Nothobranchius furzeri: one gene and its partner. The protein of the gene in region 1 purifies or fractionates together with the protein of each later gene. This does not show direct contact. Links are inferred from orthologs where the notes say so. Each region holds a gene or a part of one and is shown in the gene's direction. Other genes may lie near its edges. The genes, in order: ppp1r12a and rpa1.

The links.
Region 2: the proteins of ppp1r12a (region 1) and rpa1 fractionate together in Homo sapiens (co-fractionation; 3 studies listed by BioGRID, with this or other methods). This does not show direct contact. The link is inferred for Nothobranchius furzeri from reciprocal best matches to the Homo sapiens genes PPP1R12A and RPA1.

Annotation. Positions count from the first base shown.
Region 1 is NC_091741.1:40,817,875-40,822,441, reverse strand, and holds the start of ppp1r12a (protein phosphatase 1 regulatory subunit 12A), read left to right. Parts: upstream 1-1,477; 5' UTR 1,478-1,578; coding exon 1,579-1,815; intron 1,816-4,567. UniProt on the Homo sapiens protein: Key regulator of protein phosphatase 1C (PPP1C). Mediates binding to myosin. As part of the PPP1C complex, involved in dephosphorylation of PLK1. Capable of inhibiting HIF1AN-dependent suppression of HIF1A activity.
Region 2 is NC_091753.1:47,658,864-47,663,451, forward strand, and holds the start of rpa1 (replication protein A 70 kDa DNA-binding subunit), read left to right. Parts: upstream 1-1,765; 5' UTR 1,766-1,885; coding exon 1,886-1,915; intron 1,916-2,172; coding exon 2,173-2,220; intron 2,221-2,553; coding exon 2,554-2,632; intron 2,633-3,542; coding exon 3,543-3,651; intron 3,652-3,734; coding exon 3,735-3,823; intron 3,824-3,917; coding exon 3,918-4,007; intron 4,008-4,588. Other genes in the region: serpinf2b (serpin peptidase inhibitor, clade F (alpha-2 antiplasmin, pigment epithelium derived factor), member 2b), read left to right, coding at 229-433, 569-918. UniProt on the Homo sapiens protein: As part of the heterotrimeric replication protein A complex (RPA/RP-A), binds and stabilizes single-stranded DNA intermediates that form during DNA replication or upon DNA stress.

The DNA of each region.
Region 1 (4,567 bases):
GTAGCTATTAAGTGGTAAGGGACTGATTAATAAGTCTGAATGAAAAATGGTTGCTACTCCTCCTCGGAAAAATGGTTGCTACTCCTCCTCCTCGCCCTGTACTTTGAGCAATATGATGATTTAAATAATTTGAAGGAGTCGACTCATTTAAGCTAACATAGTCCTCTTGCTGCAGCCAGGATTCTGTGAGAGAGAGAGCAAAGAGATCTGATTATCACAAATCAAGTCATTAACTAACAAAGTCTTTGAAAAAATTGATCTAATGTTCAACAACCCACATTTAATTTTTCTAGTTTTCTGCTCAGTAGAATTTGTTCTAATATTTATGAGATTTCCATGATTTGCTTTATTAAGCCTGATATTTAATCTGTGTGATTTTGGCCGTGGACAGGACACTGTCTCTATGGGGTAGTGGGTGGGTAACAGTACAGAAGCTGCAGAGGGGTGGGTTAAACTACGACTCTGCTTCCTGGTCTGGACCCTGGGTTGTTTAAACAATATTTCGTACCAGACACTGCAAAAACATAAAATAAAATAAAAAAAAGTTTTTAAACTTAAAAACATGGATTTAATATATGTTGTAGTTTAGTTTCAGGTTTGTTTTTATATGATAATCAAAATGTATTATATATATATATATATATATATATATATATATATATTTATATTCTACTACTACTACTACTAATATTTATAATTATTATTATTATTATTATTATTATTATTATTATTATTATTATTATACAATTTAACTTAAAAAACAATAAAGTATTGCTGTCAAAACTCTGACACTAGTCAGTGACTCAGTGCACTTTGCTGGGTTTCTTTTTATAGGAAGCTTGTTACTGATTGGCTTAATGACCTGCATGGACGTAATTTTCACTTTAGAAGTGGGGGAGACACGGGAGGGGGGGGGGTATCTTTACACTATGCTCTAATGGGAAACAGGCTTCAACACAAACAGTTGTTTTCCGCTTTGTCCTAGAGCTCAACCAGTGTCAATTTAATATAGCGTAATATTGCTTTTGGATGGTAAAAAGTGCAGGGGTCAAATCTTGACTTTGGAAAAAGTGGGGGGGACATGTCCCCCCTGTCCCCCCCAAAATTACGTCCATGATGACCTGAACTGGAATGTTTACTGTGTGAAGTGCCTTGAGACTTCTCTTGTCGTGATTTGGCGCTATATAAATGAACTTGAATTGAATTACATAATGAATTTGCAGTTACAACTAGTTCTATTTTACATTCGGTTCATTTTTATACACATATTTGAATAGTAAAGATTCAATTTTAGTCACATCCCTCAAAAATCATGTACATAAAATATTATATGTCCCATCGGTTTGCCAGAGATCCCAACTAATGACGTTATGCTGCAGTCTGATCTGATGCTGCCTCGCCTGAGCTCCAGTTCTCGCGAGATTATCGGAAATTTCCAGACGTCCTCTTTCACGCCGTGTCCCCTCCTCCTCCTCCACAGCCCTCCCCTCTTCCCACGCCCCAGTGCGTTGTGGGATAGTGGCACTATAAAGTATACCCTCTCTCGGACAACGATAAGAAGTCTGAGTCAGGAGGGGGATGAAGATGGCGGACGCCAAGCAGAAGAGGAATGAACAGCTAAAGCAATGGCTGGGCTCGGAAACGGACCAGGAACCTTCTGTTTTGAAAAAGAAGAAGACGAAGGTGAAGTTCGATGATGGCGCCGTGTTTCTGGCTGCCTGCTCAAGCGGCGATACCGAGGAGGTGCTCCGTCTACTTGACCGGGGCGCTGACATCAACTACGCCAATGTAGACGGTCTCACTGCTCTTCACCAGGTTCGTGTCTGATTGCCATTGTTGGCCATTTTATCTATTTGCACCGTAGCATCAGTTTACCGTCTGTAACTGCTTCCTGTGTTGTAACACCTGTCAAATTGAAGCCATTCTCACTTCGCTGTTTACCTACCTTGCACACTCGCCTTTTTCGACGCTGAGAATAGATTAGCACCTTCCTGAGCCCTATTAACTGGTTTAATGCCTGTGCACATATTACAGAACTTCGTTTTTTTAGTTTGATTTCTTTTAGCCTTTATAGACTAGCTTCGATCCGTATTAAAGCCTTTGGGTGCAGTCTAATTGCTGTTCTGTTGTAGCTCAAAATCCCACAGCTATGTCGTCTTTTTTCTGGAGTGGTTTTAGACAAATTAGTAATGACGTTTTCTCGTGTGCAGTGATTGCTGTGTAAAATCTAAAACTTAAAATGTGTCCTAAGTAGTCTCTTTAGTAGTAGCTGTCATGTGTAGAAGCATAATCCCAGATCAGTTGATTCCACCAGCGGATGGTGTAGTGCCGCAAGAACTTCCACTGGCGTAGAATGGCAAACTCTAAAGAAACAAACCGAATGTTGACACTTTGCTACCCTCAAGACCCCACGTTCCATCAGTTATACTGTTTTTAAAATATATATGTTAACTATATGGGGTGCATTCGTGAAAGAGTGTTTTCCCCCAGCACACAGCACCGGCTATTACCTGGCTAGCAGTAAAAGTCGTTTTGTTGATAAATCCCTCAGCAGCGACGACTCTCAGGGGGTGAAACCAAAGTTATTGGACATTAGTTGTTATTTTAACTCTAATTGATGTCTTTAAGTGACATTTATGTATTATTTCTTCTGACATAATTAATAAACGCAGTGGTATTTACAATGAAGAATAAAATGTAGTGAGTTGTGAGCTAGCGCTGTTAGCATGCTAAGATAACCGACGCTGGCTGTTATGGAGTTGATTTTGACTCGATTCATTCATTAGCCGAGGTGACGGACGACGTGCCTCGTTCTTACTAGTCTCTATTTCTTTCTTTTTTTACATTTCTTGTCTTTGTGGCGTGTATCAGAACACCAATGTGTATGCGGTTGGCAGTTTGTTGTTTTGACAGAAACGCCATCCGTGCCAAGCTAACAGTTTTGCTGCTAATCTCTTTAGCAACGTTCACTAGCATATGTGCTCGGAGTGTTATCAGACTGCGGCGACCTCATCCGTAAAATTATTTAGAAAGGGGGCCTGGATTAAAATAATCACATAAAAACACTTAAATATTCGATCGGCCGGTGCTCGTAGTGCCCGTGTCCTCTTGAAGGTGGGACAGATATGTTCACTCTGGGAAAAACAGCTAAATGTTATGCTGCTTATAAACTAGGCCTGCAATAAACTAGCTTTAGAACACGATGAACTGTTCTTGTTGAACCCAAATCGAGTTCATTTTTATTACGCACCCACTTGTGAGGCTGTATTTTGATGAGTCAAAGACGCAAATATTCATGTGTGTTGATGGAAATACCTAATAAAAAATCCTAAACTATTCTACAGACATCCTCTTAATATTTCATGTAAAACTGCTGCAAAATTAAGATGATCATCAAGTGAATCTATTGTCTGATCGTCTTAGATGATAATTTAACCTTGATCTTCACTTTATTTCAGTAAATCCAAAGTTTATAAAGCCTCCCGATTGTATATCTTTCCTGTTTTAATCCCAGCCAGTGTCTGTTCCATTTTGTCTCACTCATGGACTGTCACTTGCTTTGTATGTGGCATGGAGATGACCATATGATGCAGATTTTTGCATTAGACACTCCTAGCAGAGAGAAACCAACTGTTGGAGAGAGGCAACCGATTTATAGAAAGCGAATAAATGCCCATTCTCCTTAAAAGCAAAAACAGACCCTTGTATTGTCAACAATTTCACTGAAACTAATCAAAAGTCCCTTATCATAAGCACACTTTGTAAGTTTATGTTCCACAAGCTGTTCTAAAATAGGCATTATGTGTTTATAGATCAAGATGTGTTCTACCAAATATACGAGGAGGCATTTCAAACCAACCAATGCCCCCGTCCTTATTCCGAAGCTTAGTGGAACTGTACTGATTCAGTGGTGAGATCAGAATGAGCAGATTATTTGTAGAAGCTTAGAGAAAGTTTTTTTTGCTTTGATCCAGAGGTTGGAAGAGTATGAAGTAGATTTGTTTCCTAATTATGAGTTTAAAATGATTTATTGTATATTTTATATTGCCACTAGTATATCATTGTGTGATGTAATTCTACTGAGTAGGTACAGTATACTGTGTAAGCTGCTGTGAATCATTCAAATATGTTTTTGTATTATTATTTAATCTTACCAAGTCTGAGTTTTGTACCTAAATGCTGTAGTAAAATGCCTCATCTTGCAGAAAAAGTTTTATTTTTACTGGGCAAAATCACAGTGTAGGACTTGTCCTGGGATCTCATCTCATTTTCTTTGCTTTGAGAGTAAATGATCTTAGAATTCCCGTTAAATGTCTCTGTTGGCAGAGGTCATCAGTGATGTCACGCCATTGCTCACATCCACATGTCTAATCAGAGGAAAGTGTGATGACTGCTTTTTTCATTAAATTTAAACCAGTTGTGCTTTTAAGAGCAGGTTTTCGTATGAAGATGACATTTGCTACAGTATTTTCTCTGAGCATATGTTAACGATGCTGTTGAACAAATCTTTTTATGTTCATGGTCTGCTGTAATTAAGTCTGGAATTAGCAGCCGCCCCCCCCCCCCA
Region 2 (4,588 bases), on another chromosome or scaffold:
AATCATTACTGACCTGTTTTATTGTGAGATTCGTACAAACGTTCTAATCAAGCCTTCCAGACTTAACCAGAGCCTTTAGGAATGTAAAAATATAATATAAATATCTATTTATGCAACCTTGTGGTGGTGAAGTAGTTTTAACCTCCCTCATTTGTTTAGTAAGTTCTTGTTCCGCAGCTGTGATTCCAACCCACCCGTTTCACTGCTACATGATGTCTTCTTGTGCAGGTTGCAAGGTTCCCATTCACGAAGCTGATGAGTTTGTTGGTGGTCATGCCTGAGTCTGGACAAGTTAATGTGTCTGCATTGTGTGCAAAGCTAAATATCTCTGACTTATACGAACGCCTGCCCAAAGAGACGGCCGTTCAGGTCAAAGTTCCAAAATTCAAACTGGAGTATTCTCAAGAGTTACAGGAGGTTCTTACCAAACTAGGTAAAGTTTTAGATGTTTTATTAATGTTGCAGATACATTTTAATAAATGTCAATTTTAAGTAAAAATTTGGGAAAACCACTGTTATTTTCTTAACTGAGCCTCAAAATGTAATTTTTATTTTTTATATTTTTCAGGCCTCGGGGAGATGTTCCTGAATCCTAACTTGGCTGATATTGCAGACGGCCCCCTGCTGGTGTCCAGTGTGATGCACAAGTCAAGCATGGAAATAAATGAGGATGGTGCAGAAGCTGCTGCAGCCACCAACATAGTTATCTCACGGGCAGCAATTCCAGTTTTCCACCTCACTAAGCCCTTCTTTTTTGTGCTTATGGATGACGTAACTCAAATACCAATCTTCATGGGTGTCATCAACAATCCTAATCCTGGAGCCCCTATCCTGCAGAAAGGACAGTTTGGAAGCAAAGATAAAATGGGTTTCTCATATGACAAAGATCACATGAGCTCATTTGGGGGTCCTAAATAGGAAATACAAATCTGTCCATTTCTTGAGAGAAAGCTAGGAGTTAGCAGTTGTACAGACTAGTCTGGATCAAAATATGTGTGAAAATAAAAACGTTTTGTTTGTTTCATAAGGAAATAATTATGCTTTAAAGCCCAATAGTCATTTTAAGAGGAATATTCATTTTACATGACTGTATTGTATAAGATGTGATGGTCAAGAAATTAAACGATAACATTAAATTCACAAAAAAGTCCCTGTCATGTTACTTGATGGTTTAATTTTCCACCACATGTGGAATGTGTCAACATGTAAAGTCTAAAATATCATATGTTTGAGCATTACTGCATGACTGAGCATTTTCTTAAAATATTTTAATTTGTTTTCTTGTGTACTTAAATCAATTCAATTTATCTAAATCAGTATTGATATGAATTAATTTGCTGAGACATTTAAATCAAATGGTTATTTAAAAATACTTTTCAAATCTTGCCATGTGACACATTTTAGGAGTTACAATATTATTGTAATATGACTTACGGTAAAATTAGTTAATTTCTTAGAATATAATTTTCCCCCTCCAAATATAGTTATTATGCGACGAGTAAAACTGTGCATAATACTAACATTCCGTGTTTTTTAAAAATCGCTGAAAACACAAAATCGGGTGTTTCCTGTTTTCAAATGTCATTGAACGCATCGCAACAAACGTCACTCAGTTTTGCGCTGAGAAATTCAGTGCTGGTCTGCGGTCAGTTTAGTGAGAATTTACCTCTAAGCCTTGCTGTTCTGACAGATTTTGGAAACTGAAGTCAGATCTGTTACCGGAAACGGAACCCGACAACACGGAACTCGACAAATTGAGCGCGCGATGCCTGAGCCGTTGGCGCCACAGGCATAAACTTCAAGCTGTTTGCAGTGATAGTTGTAGAAAACCGTCTGTCTAGCAGTTGCTAAAGTAATCTTCAGTTTCAACGCAAAATCGTCAGACATGCCTAAACTTTCAGAAGGCGCGATTGAGGTAAAGTTAATGTCAGTTCAACTAAAATGCTAACGTGTTTTTGTAGGCATTTTCCTACTATGTGTTTGCATTCGCGCGACATTTTTTACATTGAGGTTAATGGAAACTTAAAAACTAATATTGACTGAAGCTGGTGTAAATTGAAACATAATTTGAAGTAGCGTACATGTGTTTAGAAATCTTTTGTAAAAAATGAATGCTTCTACTGTTAAAACAAAACAGCTGTGTTACATTAAGTTAATTGTTTTTGTTTGCAGGCTTTAGCTAATGGCTCCGGTTGGAATGACGCAGTTCTTCAGCTGGTGGTAAATAACGAAAACGTGAAATACCATTTAAACGTATCATGCTCTTAAACGCATGTTTACTTTTGGGCTTCGTTTTTAGTTCTGACACGGTTAAGGCCCGCATCACATGCGGCCTCTTTGTTTAACCGTCATGACGTATTGAAAGCTGTGTAAACTTGTGAAGCTGCTTTTTGTGCGTTATATATTTTAGAAGAGGCATTAAACGCCACACTCTTTTTCAGAACGCTGCTTCAGCAAATTCCAACAAATCAGTAACTCAGGCATTAGTTAAATGCTTTTGCAGATTTCTTGATTAAATTGCAAGAGTTTATTATTTTTTTCTTTAACTTTTAGAACATTCGCAAAATAGAGGGAGGAAGTGGGATACCTCGCTTTCGGGTGATGATGAGTGATGGACGCCACACACTGTCATGTAAGTATGATATACATTTGGATCAAACCAGTCTCTGACCCTGGGTTTGGCATTTAATCATTTTTGAATGGAAAGTGTTAGTGAGACTGCATCTTTAGAGAGAAGCTACTCCGTTTGCAATTTTAATTTGTCTAGTTTCATAGACTCAAATCTCATTTTTCCTGCATGATAGTTCTTGGTAAATAAATAATTAGAAGGTCAGGGCAGCTGTGACCTTGACATTTGTTCGTTAGTGGAAAAAATTGGCACTATCTCCTTTGTTTACTTTGTCAGGGAAAATTTTACCCTGAAGCACTGTTGGTGTACGAATCGTGTGATGAGCAGCACATCTATTTGCGTTTTAAACGACAACATGATTAACATTTAAATGACATCTGGAATGCATATTTGTTTTGTGGTTTTATTTTGCAATCATTAAAGGTTTTAGGTAGCCTGGCAAGCTATGTTGATATATAGTCTGGCTACAACCCATAGACTGAGCTCGGTCTTGGGGCAGAATCTACATTTTGTTTTTTAAACGGTCTCTGCTTGCAATACTACAGTGCTAGCACCAATCAGAGCAACAAACAACGTGACGTATTGACAGCAACGGAAATCGCTCGACAGGGCAGTCTGCCATACATTATCGAAGAGGTACCTCCACCTGCTGCACAAGTCTAAGTCGCCCAAATTTGATACCAACACCTTTTAAAAAGAGTGCCGTTCCTGAGCCGATGCCATCTTTGTTTTGCTTTGTCACCGCTGTGGTTCTAAACTCCTCAACTCTTGCTAGACCAACCCGCAGAGCATAAATCTTCAGATACTCCTACAGTTTTTCTAGTTCTCTAGGCTAGGGTTTAGGTGCACATTGTGAGTTTTTTTTTTTTTGTTAACGTAAAGCTAACCAAACATTTTCCCTCATCATTTGCAGCCTTTATGCTTTCCACTCAGTTGAACTACTTGGCTGAGGAAAACATCCTCGCCCCAAACTGTGTGTGCATTCTGAAGAAGCATGTGACCAATATTCTGAAGGATGGACGGTATGCAGATTTCGTAGCAAATATAAAAATTTGCTATTTAAAAAGCAAAAATGAACAAGAATTGATGTAAAATCTGATTGCAGCCGAGTGGTCATCATTTTGGAAACCGAATTGATCAAACCTGCTGAAGAAGTCAGTGGTAAAATTGGAGACCCTACTCCTTACTTTGATGGTAAAACTCAATGGCAGTGAGAGAAACAGAGGTGACTCATTATTGAGTCATCGTGTTGCCATAGGCTTGTGGTAACTTGATGTTCTGTTTGTAGGTCAGAATAAAGGCCAGCAGTCTGGCCCCGTCCCTGCAGCTCCAGGCCCCGAAGTCAGACCTCCACTGCAGGCACAAAACAAGAACGACGGTAAGTTCAAGCTTTTGTCTTTTATATTTATTTAATTTTTCTGCTGAAAAAGCTGACCATAGACAAAAAACAAAATGTCCACTAGATGGCAGCAGCTTTCTGATGGTTTAGGCAATCTTAAGGTTTATATGACATTTTGACATTTGCGTACAGAAATCTTATTTTTATCCTCTTATGAAACAAAAATCTGTGCTTTGTTTCCATAACTATGCTTCCTGTTGGTGCATCGGGAGGAGTTTCCTGTTCTTTCCCTGTGAAAGACAATCACTCAACCAACTGTCAGAGTGTTGATTAGATCAATAAAATACAAATTTTACGTTCAGATTTCTGAGACCAGTAGCAGAGCTGCAGACTCCCACATCTATGTTGTGTCTGCGAGTGACGAAGCAGACATTCATCCCTGGAATCTGCCATGTGGGAGTGAAGGCTTGCAGCAGCCATCTTCCTCATCAACAGGAGGGATTGTTCATTTCTCTGTGTGTGCTGCTTGATCTCAGAGTTTAATTACCTGAAGTGCAGCGGTTGCCAAAGTGTGTGGACTCGAGTGAACACTTTGAACTCTAATCCTCCACGTGAGATGC